Cricetulus griseus: one gene and its partner. The protein of the gene in region 1 binds, or shares a complex with, the protein of each later gene. Links are inferred from orthologs where the notes say so. Each region holds a gene or a part of one and is shown on either strand. Other genes may lie near its edges. The genes, in order: Ntrk1 and Ngf.

Region 1 (5,888 bases):
GATGTCTTTCTTCCCTGATCTAGAAATCTGGAGATCTGCCATCCCTGGGGCTAACCCTGACCAGTGTCACCAGTGACCTCAACAAGAAGAATGTGACATGCTGGGCAGAGAATGATGTGGGCAGGGCTGAGGTCTCTGCCCAAGTCATCGTCTCCTGTAAGCCCCTATGACAGCCCCGGCACCCACCCCACCCCACCCCCACTCATCTCCTCTTCCCTGAACAGAGAGGGGGTGAATGGGAGGGTGAGTGGGTGTCTCTACAGCTGCTCCCTCCCAGCTGTTTCCAGATTCCCACGAAAACCTGATCCTGCCTGGGAAGTCCTGGAGGCTCCTCAAGGCCAGAGGGTTAGGGATGGATTTCTTTCTGGCCTGCTGCCCAAGCTTGCTACCTGAGGCCCTCAGCACCAGCTGCAGGCTGGCCTGGCTGCCTCTGTAAGGCTTTTGCCCTGCTACCACCTTATTCATTTGTGTCCCTTAGGATTTTTGTCTAGGTTTGGGATAACCACTTTATAGCTGGTGAAGTCTCCTCCAGCCCAGGTGGGAACTTCCAGCTTAGCTGACATCTGTGCAAATTGAATGTTGTGGGTAGAATGAGCTCAGGGCTGGACTTCTAGAGAAGGAGGCGTACATCAGTTCTGCATCCTGTTCTTAGACAAGCTTTGATTCATTGGAGGGGGTGCAGCCATACACAAGCATCTTTAAAGAGGGGAATTCCTCTCCTGAGTTCCTTCTTAATGCTTGTTGCCTAATTTATCTAGCTTTGCCAACAAATTATCTTTAATCTATGTTCCAGCATAATTTCTCCTTTATTGTGAAATACACATAGTTATGCACACCAATCATACACATTATTTATTTACTTATTTATTTAGAGACGGGGTCTTGCAACAAAACCCAGGCAGCTCTGGAACTCACAATCCTCTTGCCTCAGCCAAGTGCTGGGATTACAGAATCGCCACACCTAGCTGACATACATACTTTAAGCAAGAATTACCCTTGCCAAGACTTTAGAAGACACCCTCCCTCAGTCCCAACTCCATCTCTCCATCCTAATTTTTATGTTCAGTGCTTCCTTGTGAAAATAATTTTCCACAGGGGCTGGGAATTGATCAATAATGAGCATTTTCTATTGCTTAAAAGCACTAATTGCTCTTGCAGAGGGCCCAGATTGGGTTCCTAGCACCCCACACAGTAGCTCACAACCATCTGTAACTACAGTTCCAAGGAATCTGATGCCCTCTTCTGGTCTTCATGGTCACCCAGGTATATGTGTGGTACACATACACGCATGTGACAAAACACTAATAAACATAAAATAAAAATAAATCTTAAAATAGTAGTTTTCAAGCTGGGCACGGGGTGGTGCATACACATCCTTAATCCCAGAACTTGGGAGGCAGAGCAGGCAGATCTCTGTGGGTTTGAGGCCAGCCTGGGCTATAGAGCAAGTTCCAGGACAGCTAGGAGGGCTGTTACACAGAAAAACCCTGTCTTGAAAAACCAAAAAAAAAAAAAAAAAAAAAAAAAAAAAAAACAAAACAAAATTTTTCTACATGTCTGCTTCCCTATTAGAAAAATTTTGTTTGTTTTACACATTATATAAATGAAAACTTACTCTATGTATTTTTTTTATCTATTTTCTTTTGTCCAACCTTCATATTTGTGAAATCCATCTGTGGCAACAGAAGTAACTATAATTCCTTCATATACTACAAATATTTCATGTTATGAATGCTGATGAGAATTCCCATAAATTTGTATGTTTGTACATACATGTTACACAAATATATTTTGTCTGTTATTGAGGGGTTTTCAGTTTTTCAGGACTGTCTCAAAGCCATGTTTCTTGATTTTTTAATTCTTTCTTTCCTTTTCTTTTTCTTCAGTGCTGTAACTGTCCTTGGATGGGACCCAGGACAAGCTGTGTCCCAGCCTAGCAAGTGCTCCTTACTGAGCCACGCCCTAGCACTGTTATCTACTTGTTTAGAGACAAGGTCTTTCTAAGTTACTTGGGCCTTGAACTTGTACCCTTCTGCCTCCCAAGCAGCTTGGCTGGCAGGCCATCACTACTAGGCCTGTACTGGGCTCTATGTGTGTCCCTTAAGCTTCTGAATTTTGTCTGTTGGCTGCCACATTCAGTACCAACTTTCTTCCAAATATGTCTTCTAGAGGGTTTCTTAGGATCTGCTACCCCTGATTTCTCCCTTCCCTGAATTCCTTCCAGCCAGTTGTCCACTCCCTGTCGTGTGCCCTCTTTCCACAGTCCCCGCCAGTGTGAGCGTGGGCCAGGCAGTGGAGCAGCACCACTGGTGCATCCCCTTCTCTGTGGACGGGCAGCCAGCACCCTCTCTGCGCTGGTTCTTCAATGGTTCGGTGCTCAACGAGACCAGCTTCATCTTCACCCAGTTCTTGGAGTCTACACTGACGAATGAGACCATACGACACGGCTGCCTTCGCCTCAACCAGCCCACCCATGTCAACAATGGGAACTACACACTACTGGCTGCCAACGCCTATGGCCAGGCGGCTGACTTCATCATAGCTGCTTTTATGGACAACCCTTTTGAGTTCAACCCCGAGGACCCCATCCCTGGTGTGAGAGCTGCCCTAAACCCTGCCCTGCTCCTGGGAGGCACCTGGGTGGAGAGCCGGCCATCCAGGGAGGTCTGGCCTCTGTCTGCCGTGACCCTGGTTCCCCGAGCTAGAGCGCTTTGTCCTGGACAGAAGAGCTGGTGGCCAGCTCTATGCTGTCCTCCTTGCCTCTCTCCCAAGCCAGGCCTGCTGAGGCCCTGAGCTGTTCTAACTATCCAGGCTGAAGAGAGGGCTGTGCCCTCTAGGCAGCTATAGCTCCCTCTTTCTTGAGGCCCAGCAGCCTACCCCACCCAGTAAAGGAACACCCTGGAGGGCAGGGCCTCACTGTTCCCCCTCTGACTGCTTTCTCTCCTCCTTCCTGCCGCAGTCTCCTTCTCGCCAGTGGGTGAGTTGCCTGGGCTGGAGGGCAGCTGTGTTGTCTCAGAGCTGAAGCAGAGGGGACAACTAGCTGGGACCCTGAAGTGTGGCCAGGGTGGGGAGCTGCTGGAGGAGACACAGCAGTATGTGTCAAGGCCCACCCCTTGTGCCCTGTGTCCCCACAGACACTAACAGCACATCAAGAGACCCAGTGGAGAAGAAAGATGAAACACCTTTCGGGGTGAGTGTGGGATGTGGAAGCTTATGGGGACGTGGAATGGGGTGGCCAGGCATGGCTCCCTGGCCTGTCATTTGGAGCTAGAGCAAGACAATCAGTCTACTGCATCCTGAGCTTGGTTAGATGCTCCCCCAGCCAGGCTGAGGTCACTAGGGAAGCAGGACACAGGGCCAGGCACCTGGCTCAGGACTCCGCTGTGGGATGGAACTATGCAACACTACTTCTAGGTCTCTGTGGCTGTGGGCCTAGCCGTCTCTGCTGCCCTCTTCCTTTCTGCCCTGCTCCTTGTGCTCAACAAATGTGGACAGAGAAGCAAATTTGGGATCAACCGTGAGTTGGCAGCAGAGGGCTATCTGTCCATCTATCCCACTGGCTTGGTTTTCTCCTGTCTCTTCCTATCTATGCCCTGTGGTGTTTGGTATATTATTGGGGGGTTGTCTGTGGGGCTCAGGCTGTATGTGTGCTGGGCTGGGGCAGGGTCATTTTGGAGGTAGTGGTTATTCGTTTGTGGCTGTTGTCAAACACTGAGTGGTCTGGAGGGCTCATTTCTGTCAGCAGCAGGGGAGGGTTTGGTGCCAGGGGCCGGTCAAGAGGCCCCAGTGCTTCCCTTCCCTTGCCTACTGTCTCGCTCTGGCATGACTCTTTCCCTCCTGCAAGGTAGCCGGGCAGGGGGCGGGGGGGGGGCGGCGGCTGGCACTATTCAAGCTGGTCTGAGCAAGTATGGAGATGGTGCTTTGGCCTGGATGTTTCATGCTGGTGTGTCTCTTCCCTAGGCCCTGCTGTGCTGGCTCCAGAGGATGGGCTAGCCATGTCCCTGCATTTCATGACATTGGGTGGCAGCTCTCTCTCCCCCACTGAGGGCAAAGGCTCCGGACTCCAGGGCCACATCATGGAGAACCCACAGTACTTCAGTGACGCCTGTGAGGAACTGTGTTACAGTAGGCGAGTGCGAGTGTGTGTGTGTGTGTGTGTGTGTGTGTGTGTGTGTGTGTGTGTGTGTGTGTGAAGCTCTTGGGCCATCACTGTGCCATCACCCAGGCCTATCCCCACCCTACCTCAAAGTCTAGCCTGGTTCCTGGTTCAGGGTCGTATCTCCCATACTCCCTGGCCGGATCCTCTCACCCACCCACACCCCCTTTCCTGTGGTTGCACTGCCCTTACCAGCACCCCATCCCGCCCATGCCAGGGCTGCCTTCTGACTTTACAAGCCCCTCCCAGGTGTCCATCACATCAAGCGCCGGGACATTGTGCTCAAGTGGGAGCTAGGGGAGGGAGCCTTTGGAAAGGTCTTCCTTGCTGAATGTTACAACCTTCTGAATGAACAGGACAAGATGCTGGTGGCTGTGAAGGTGAGACCGTGGTCCTGGTAGGGACTGCTGGCCCATGTCCCTCAGAGCACAATCATGTCAGGGTGGGGGGTGTTTGAATGGAATAAGACTTGCGATGGGACTGGAGTCCCCTCTAGCCGTGACCCCACCCCTCCCCCTAGGCACTGAAGGAGGCGTCTGAGAGCGCCAGGCAGGACTTTCAGCGCGAGGCAGAGCTGCTCACCATGCTTCAGCACCAGCACATCGTGCGTTTCTTCGGAGTCTGCACTGAGGGTCGCCCGCTGCTCATGGTCTTTGAGTATATGCGTCACGGGGACCTCAACCGTTTCCTCCGGTACAAGAGCCCAGCCCCTCACTCAGTCTTTGGTCCCTTCCCTGAGAGAGTATCTTTGCTCGTCTGCCTGACTGAGGGGGAGACACCAGGAAGGGATAAGAAGGCGTAGCTGCCACCCACAGGGAAGTAGAGTGGGCAGGTGTGTCAATGTGGGCATGTCTGTAGGACAGTTGCTAGAGGTCAAAGGTCTGAACTGGAGCTTTGGGACCATAGTTCTGTAAGACTGTATGTGCATTTATGTGCATAGAGGCCAAGCCCGCAGGGAGATGTGGTATGGAGAATGCTGACCCCAGGCAGCCATCAGGCCCCTTCTGGGTTCTGTGTGCTTGTGTAGTGCTATATTTTTCAGTCTCCAAGCATATAAGCCATTTATATTGGAAGGATGTCACACAAAACTCACTTCTTTGACTTTGGCTAGGACAGCTCTGATGTTTAGTTTCTGATACTTGTAATCACTTCGAGAAATGTGTTGACTTCACAAGAAGGTTTAGGGGTGACAAGACCTGCCCAGGACACGCAGGAAGTGAAAGCTGCCACTCCAGCAGAACTCTTACCCTCAGATACAGGCTGTGATGGTCCTTCTCCCTCAAGGTAGCCATAAGGCCCAGGCAGGATTAGTTAGTGGAGTACCACCAGAATCAGCCACCATGTCTGTGAATCTTCCTTTCTGGCCAAGAGCACACACCAGGGGGAGAGACAGAGAAGGCTTCCTGGAAGAAGGGGCATTAAAACTGAGACTCCAGTCAAAAGGCAGAGAAATAAGCCTGGGCAAAGGAGGCTGGGCCAGGAGGCAGTGTAGCTAGGAGGGAGGTCCCATGTGTCAGTTAGGCGAAACTGTGGCTCTGGGTGAGAAAGCTGACGCTCATGGCCTGATTTCCCAGAAGTTCTAGGGAGGGGACGCTCATGTGTACAGTTGACAGGGTTAGCTATGAGAGACCCTGAGTAGGAGTGACCCTGGGACAGTGCACCTCTGCAGGGACACTGAGTGGCTCAGGTAGGCCAGCCCTAAGATGCATGGAAGTAGACTGGCAGAGTAGCC
Region 2 (6,373 bases), about 12 Mb from region 1:
GAAGGATTTTCTTCAGTGCTGGGATCTCCCTGAGCAGGCAGTCTGTCTATGCTTTCAACAGCATATGGGTGAGGAAGGAGGTGCCCTGTCCTGATACCCTCTACCTTTCCCCCATTCTTTCTGTTGTTCTTCTCCATTGCAGTGAAATTCCAGTCACAGAAGGCAGAGGGTGACACCTGGAAAGATCATAACACTGAGATCCCTTTTGATAGAGGCACTATGTCTGATATATTGATACTCAGAGGACAAAGACTAGGGTTTCTAAAGTCCCAGCTCTCTGACTGCATCATAGATGCCTCAACAGAAGGGCCTGGAAGCATGACCTTTATTCCATTCCCAAGGGAAGTCTTAACTGGAAGCACCGTTTACACATGGAGGCAAACTCAGCTGCCATCATGACTTCTGACATTTAGTAGGTAAGGCAGGGACACTGAACTTCCTGTGTGTGTAGAGTGGTCACACTTAACCAAGAATTGCCCTGATGTGTCAATGGCTCCATTTACAAAAGGCATCATGGAATACACTAGTCAGATTTCATGAGGTTAATGACTTGCTCACTGATGGAGCTCACAGTCACACAGCTGCCTTTCCTTTTTCCAATGGAAAAACCTCCATTGGAAGATTACTCAAGGTTAATCAAGAGACCATCTCAACCTTTACATTTGATTTTCCTATATCACAGTCAAAGGCCAACAATCTACAGAAATTCCTCAAAAGACATTATATTGTCCATAGAAGAGAAAAAAAAAAAAAAAGACACAATAACCACAAGCAGCTGTCCTCTATGGTGGATTCTCATTTCTCCAGTCCTGTCTAAACCGTGTAACTGAAGGTCTATTTCCTTTAGCCCAGATAGGAACATCTCCTCATTGTGCACACCCCCTTGGCAGTGATCCCAAGGCCTCATTTTCTCTGTTTTGTACAGTGGTCTCAGAGCCATCTTAGTCTCTCTATTTGGGATCGGAAATCATAACCATATCCCCACTGTCAAGAAGCAAACATCCCAGGAAACAGTTAGGAAGGATCTTTCTTTCCTCTTTATTTATCTGGCGGACATCACTATGACACAACACTAATTCTCTCAGAGTTAATCTTAGAACTGGCTAAGCTTGAGAGCAACAATGTGTAAGATCAAAAGCGCCAGTCAAAGAAAGAAAAGAGACACTTAATGGAAACACAGGTCCTTGGCTTCTCAGATAACCAGAGACTTTGTACATACTCTGAGCAAACCTTCCACTTCCTGACTGTGGACGGCCTGCTCCAGATACTGAGGTGCCTGCAAGTTCTTATTAGGAGAAGGCAAATGGCCAGGTCTCTGGCTCAGTCTGTTAGTGCTGTGTGGGCCTGTAGGCACAGCTCGGTTACATACCTAGCAAAGAAGAGCAGTAGCTGTATTCTCTGTGGATTCCCCCCCACAGCTAGGAGACCCTGTGCTCCACAAGTGAGCAGCTGTCATGCTCAACTCTCCTTTAGAAGTGTGTGATTTTCTCATCAGCTGAATCTCAGTAACGATGAGAAACTTCCCTGGGGCTCCAGCCCTGCCCTGCCTTGCCCTGCCCTGCCCTAGTCTCCATGCTGATGTTGGCAGCTGGGGCCCCTTTCTGGTCCGGGCACAGAGTTCTCCCTGGAGGAGAGTGGAGTGTGGGGCCTCATCCTTTCCTCTCACTGCCCTCGGGAAATGGGGACTGTGAGGTGGGTAAGAGGAGAAAGTGAAAGCCTATTCTTTGCTAAAGGTTAACAGTAAAGAATTGACAGCCACTAACATCAGCATGACTGTCCTAAACAAATAACTTTCTGATTATTTGGGCTGCTTCCAGTGGCTGTCCAGGGATGACACTGATTTCAGCTGGCTATCAAACCCTCTGAGTCACTCTTATAGCTCTGTCAAATCATGTGCCCATGCCCTAGAGACCCTGAATTCCTACAGGTGGTACTCCTTAACATTTTCTCTTGGAGGCATCTCTCTCCCTTTTTTTCCCCACCTGCCTAAAATATTGGGGAGAATGATGAGGGGAGGAACAGAAAGATGTGGCATTAACTCCATCCTCCTTCAGCTACCCAGGACAAGGGACATGTACATCAGTACCTGCCATGCTGGCCTCATCCCCCAGACCATGCTCCTTTCCAGCTGCTTGTCCCCTGTCATCCTCTGGGAATACTGTCTATGATGAATTAGTATTCAGATGGCCAGGCTGACGCATGCCTTACTCAACAGATGAAACCCATCAGGCTTAATGTGGCCTGTGACTCGCAGAGAGGGAAAGTTTCATTAGGTAGGGAACCGTAACACCAGTCAAGAAGGGTGGCAGGGGCCAAAACTATACAGATCTTTTCAAACCGATATAACACAGATTCAGAAGTTCGAGACCCTGGGGAGAAGTTACTGGGGGTGGAGGGGGGTCCACGACCCTCCATGCCAGTTAAGCTTGCAAAGTTCAGCTGGTTATGCCTATGAGGAGAGTGGATTGGCACGGGCAGAGAGAGTATACTGAAGGGATAGATGCAGGACAATACATCAAGTGTCTTTTCTCCAGGGCTTCCACTGGCCTCCCGTGACAGAAGGGGCAGAGGCACCCAGGAGAGCAGTATTTTGGTTTGCAGCTTGGAACGTGCCCTGAGTTTCCCTTAATACCCACAGCACCCAAAAGACTTTGCTGTAATACACTTTAATGCACGAAACACCCATAAATTATCCTTCAAACTGCTACAATTTCCAGCCTGGAACAACTTGGAAAAACCAGCCTAGCAAGCAGGCACTTCTTGAATCTCTGGAGTAAACCTGACGAAAAAGGTCAAGCCAAAAACACCTTCCTTAAGAATCTCAGAAAGTTTTATGAAAGCAAGAGCATTGTAATCAAGCAGAGCTAACTAAGCCGCATGTTTACGTTGGCTTCAAGTTGCAATACCATGACCCCAGAGTCCTCTCTCTCCCTCCCCTGCAGTTTCTCTGCCTGAACCCAAGACTCCCGCTGCCCTTCCCAATGCCGGGGTGCCAGCCTCTGCCACACCTGGCAGCAGACAGTTGAATGTACTGGGTGACCCAAGTACTGGGGATGAGCCTTGAGATAGCCAGCAGGCCCCACCAAGGGCCCTGTTGCTAGGGACCTCGGCACTTGGAACCCAAGCTCCCTGAATCAACCCCTGGCACTCTCAATTTATACTGTGAGCCCTGCGACAAGCACCGAGTCTAGCGCACCCTGGGCCGCTGGTCCTCTCACTTTGGTGCTGCGTGGCACTTTGGGGACTCTGCGCACTCCCCAGCCCACGCGCTATGCACTCACCCTCCACTGCGCGGGCTACTGCTCCGCCACCCCAGCGCGCTTGCAGCGCGCGCATCCCTCTCTCCAGGTTCTCTTGAGCGCTGTCCCCTTCTAGCCTGAGAGCTCAGGAAAGGCGGTGCTGCTTCTGCAGGCGCCAGTGTTGACTTTGGGACTTCTAGACATCCTGGGACAGGGAATTTTACGACCAGAGAGACCCTCACTTCCTTCGCCTCCCTTGCTTGCCCATGGGCTCGCGTCCCTACATCTACTCCGAACACTTCTTTCAGGGCTGCGTTTCAACCCACGAAGATTTCGCCAGACAGGGATCCATGCACACCATTCCAAGCCCAGCAACCCGGTCCGCCGCACCGCTCTGCACCCCGTCAGGGGTTCGGCTCAGCGCAGCCTGACTCACCGATGCGCTCCCCTCCGGCTCCCGGCGCTCTCTGCTGTGCTGGAGCACAGAGCTGCTGTAACAGGCTTCGTGAATGTATTTAGCCCCTCCTCCCTGGCTCCAGTCACAGCCTCTCCAAATCCTGGCCCCCACCCACCTCATCCCTTCCTCCTTGCCCCACCCCCACTCCCAGCCCCGCACCTGCTGTGACTGGACCCAAGGTGCCAGACTGCAGGGGTCCTGGGGACAAGGGATGGATAGCTCCAGGAAGGCTGGTGGGACTCGGCCAGGAAAAGACAGCCAGGGAAGGATTCAAACCTTCTGAGGACAAATGAAAATGCATCGGGTTCGCAGTGGCAGAGGGAGATTTTCTAGGGCACCAGGCAGGGTAGCTGGTCCTGCACACCAATGGGCAGACAGGCTGAGCAGGGCAGAGTAGCTTGTCGGAGTTAGAAGAGTCCCTTCACCTTCTGCCCTGGCTCACTGCTTTGCTAGCCTTCTGGGTTGGTTTAGGTCTCCTTTGGTGGTTGGACATCAGGTGCTCCTCTCCCTGCAAATCTGAGAGCTGAAAGAACACCCAGGAAGCTCCCGGGGTTTGGCAAGTACTAGGAGGTTATCTGAAACCAGGCAGAAGCAGAGTTAACTAGAATGTCTAGACAGAGGTGTATCTGCCGGGGGTCTGAGGGAAGAGGGTCTTAGGGGTCCAGATACCTCACGTTCCCAGCCAGCATTAAGGTCTGGGATTGCAGGAGCCTCCCAGGAACTCAGTTCCCTCTAATATTGTAGATGGAATAGTGTGCTGCCTACAGTTTTCTAGATCTGGGGTCCACAGCTTTCATCAGTTTTTAAGAATTGGTGAGTACAGCCTTAGAAGAAGGCCAAGCCTTCTGCCCCACCCCAGACCCCACCCCACTCCCTTTCATCTCCTCTATTTGTTTACTTAAGGTGGGGTCTCCAGAATTTCTTGGATCTGATAGATTCAGGAGCTGGTGGGGGCCTGACTGACTTAGACCTCCCCCTTTCCCTGTATATATTTCCACCTCATCTCTTCCCCAAACCAATAAGGCAGAAATATACCTAAAGTCAGATTTTTCACCAAGTGTGCATGTGCATGAACAGTTGTAAGAAAGATCTTTGGAAATACACACACACACACACACACACACACACACACACACACACACACCTTTTGCTGGTTGAACTTGTGAAATGACTTTTCTTCCTTTGAAAAAGCATGTTGTATGCTCCCCTCCTCTCTGCCTCCGCCTCCATGAATGGATGGAAGGAATGGATGCAGGAGAGTGACAGAGGGAGGGTGAAGTACTGAGTCTCCTCCTTGCTGATGACTTGCTAGTACTGCCCAGGCAAAAGTCATTCTCCATGCAGCTGGGATGTAGTTAGGCAGCGGCTCCCAGGAACAACTTGAAGTGGTCCTTCATCCCCATTGGAAGACACCTGGATAAGGAAAGGATCCGCCGAGGAACTTGTGGCCATCTGGATTTGGACTCCTTTGTGTCTTTGCCTTTGTCCCCACATCTACCTATGTCCCATTTCTAGGCACTCTGAGAAGGATGAAGGAAGAAGAAAGGACTGGCATTGGAAGTTGAGCTTTCTTGCTTTGCTAAGCATGGTCTGTGTGGTCCAGACACAGTCTGGTAGATCAACACATTTCAGAAGTGAAGTAGAGAGGTCAGGGGACTCTAGAATGGCAGAGTAGAAATAGCATAATGGCTGTGGTGGTCTATTAGAAAACTTATCGTTGTTAATCAAACAACTAACAGTTTCCAGACAATACAATACATCTATCCATTAACCATTTCACATATAACTGCTTTTTAAGAATCAGTTCTATATAATAACTGCCTGTGAATTTAGGGGTGAAATTCAAAACTACAGAATAGCTCGATTTGGTTGTTAAATGCGGGGCTTTTGTATGTGTCCTTATGGTGTCACCTTGAAGGACAAAAGGATTTGGGGTACTTGTGGTTCTTTTTCAAGAGGGGTATTAAAAACAAAGTAAAATATAAGCCCAGCTGTTCCACCTGCAAATTTTTTTTATCATATTATGGGGGCATACCCTGGTTTAACAGGAGGTTTCTGTATTTGTTTGCTTTTTGTTTTTGCCAGCTCTAACTAGATCTGCTTGTGTCCCTGAATTCGAAGGATCTTGAGCAAGTAAGATTATATAAACAACAAACAATGGTTTACTCTGTGCTGCATACCAGAAGATGGCTGTGACACCTGCTGGCACAGTTGTTCCCATGATGGCGAGACTATTACACCCTGATCACATTGTTAGTCTCCCTGGGACCTAGCACAGGGACCTGACATGTGTTTTGAATCCAAAAATTGTGAGAGTCATTTGTGGGTGTCAAATAATCCATCCATACTGGGTTGGTTTCCAGAAGTTTTCATTATAGGTCAGCCTCCGTTCTAATGACCATAGTCAGGTGCCTTCTCTTTTTGCTTTTTCCACTTTCATGAAAGACTCCAACAGAAGTGTCCTCACAGGTCACTGAGAGAGGGACCTTAAGATCTGGACCAGTTACATTTATAGGAATGAAAACCAGCTGAGAGGGCAGTGGCCAGAAGGCATGGTGCCACGGGCAGAGAATGAGAATGTTTTGATGTACTAGATTTTCTCGAAAGAGCTTTTTATCCAGGGTATCAAAATAACCAGCAGCTGATGCATTTGCTGACTTGGAGGACAGCTTGTGGT

Evidence for each region.
Region 2: the proteins of Ntrk1 (region 1) and Ngf are in contact, whole or in part, in a crystal structure (PDB 1WWW), measured with the Homo sapiens proteins. The link is inferred for Cricetulus griseus from reciprocal best matches to the Homo sapiens genes NTRK1 and NGF. Residues at the interface, in NP_002520.2 of Homo sapiens: His291, Val294, Glu295, Met296, His297, Cys300, Pro302, Phe303, Ser304, Leu333, Glu334, His343, Gly344, Cys345, Arg347, Thr352, His353, Met379, Asp380, Pro382; in NP_001424474.1 of Homo sapiens: His125, Pro126, Ile127, Phe128, Arg130, Gly131, Glu132, Phe133, Ser134, Ser138, Ser140, Trp142, Tyr173, Phe175, Arg180.

Annotation. Positions count from the first base shown.
Region 1 is NW_023276806.1:66,678,512-66,684,399, forward strand, and holds part of Ntrk1 (high affinity nerve growth factor receptor), read left to right. Parts: intron 1-23; coding exon 24-156; intron 157-2,263; coding exon 2,264-2,593; intron 2,594-2,959; coding exon 2,960-2,977; intron 2,978-3,134; coding exon 3,135-3,190; intron 3,191-3,414; coding exon 3,415-3,517; intron 3,518-3,960; coding exon 3,961-4,107; intron 4,108-4,405; coding exon 4,406-4,536; intron 4,537-4,676; coding exon 4,677-4,849; intron 4,850-5,888. UniProt on the Homo sapiens protein: Receptor tyrosine kinase involved in the development and the maturation of the central and peripheral nervous systems through regulation of proliferation, differentiation and survival of sympathetic and nervous neurons.
Region 2 is NW_023276806.1:54,475,085-54,481,457, forward strand, and holds the start of Ngf (beta-nerve growth factor), read right to left. Parts: upstream 3,745-6,373; 5' UTR 3,676-3,744; intron 1-3,675. UniProt on the Homo sapiens protein: Nerve growth factor is important for the development and maintenance of the sympathetic and sensory nervous systems.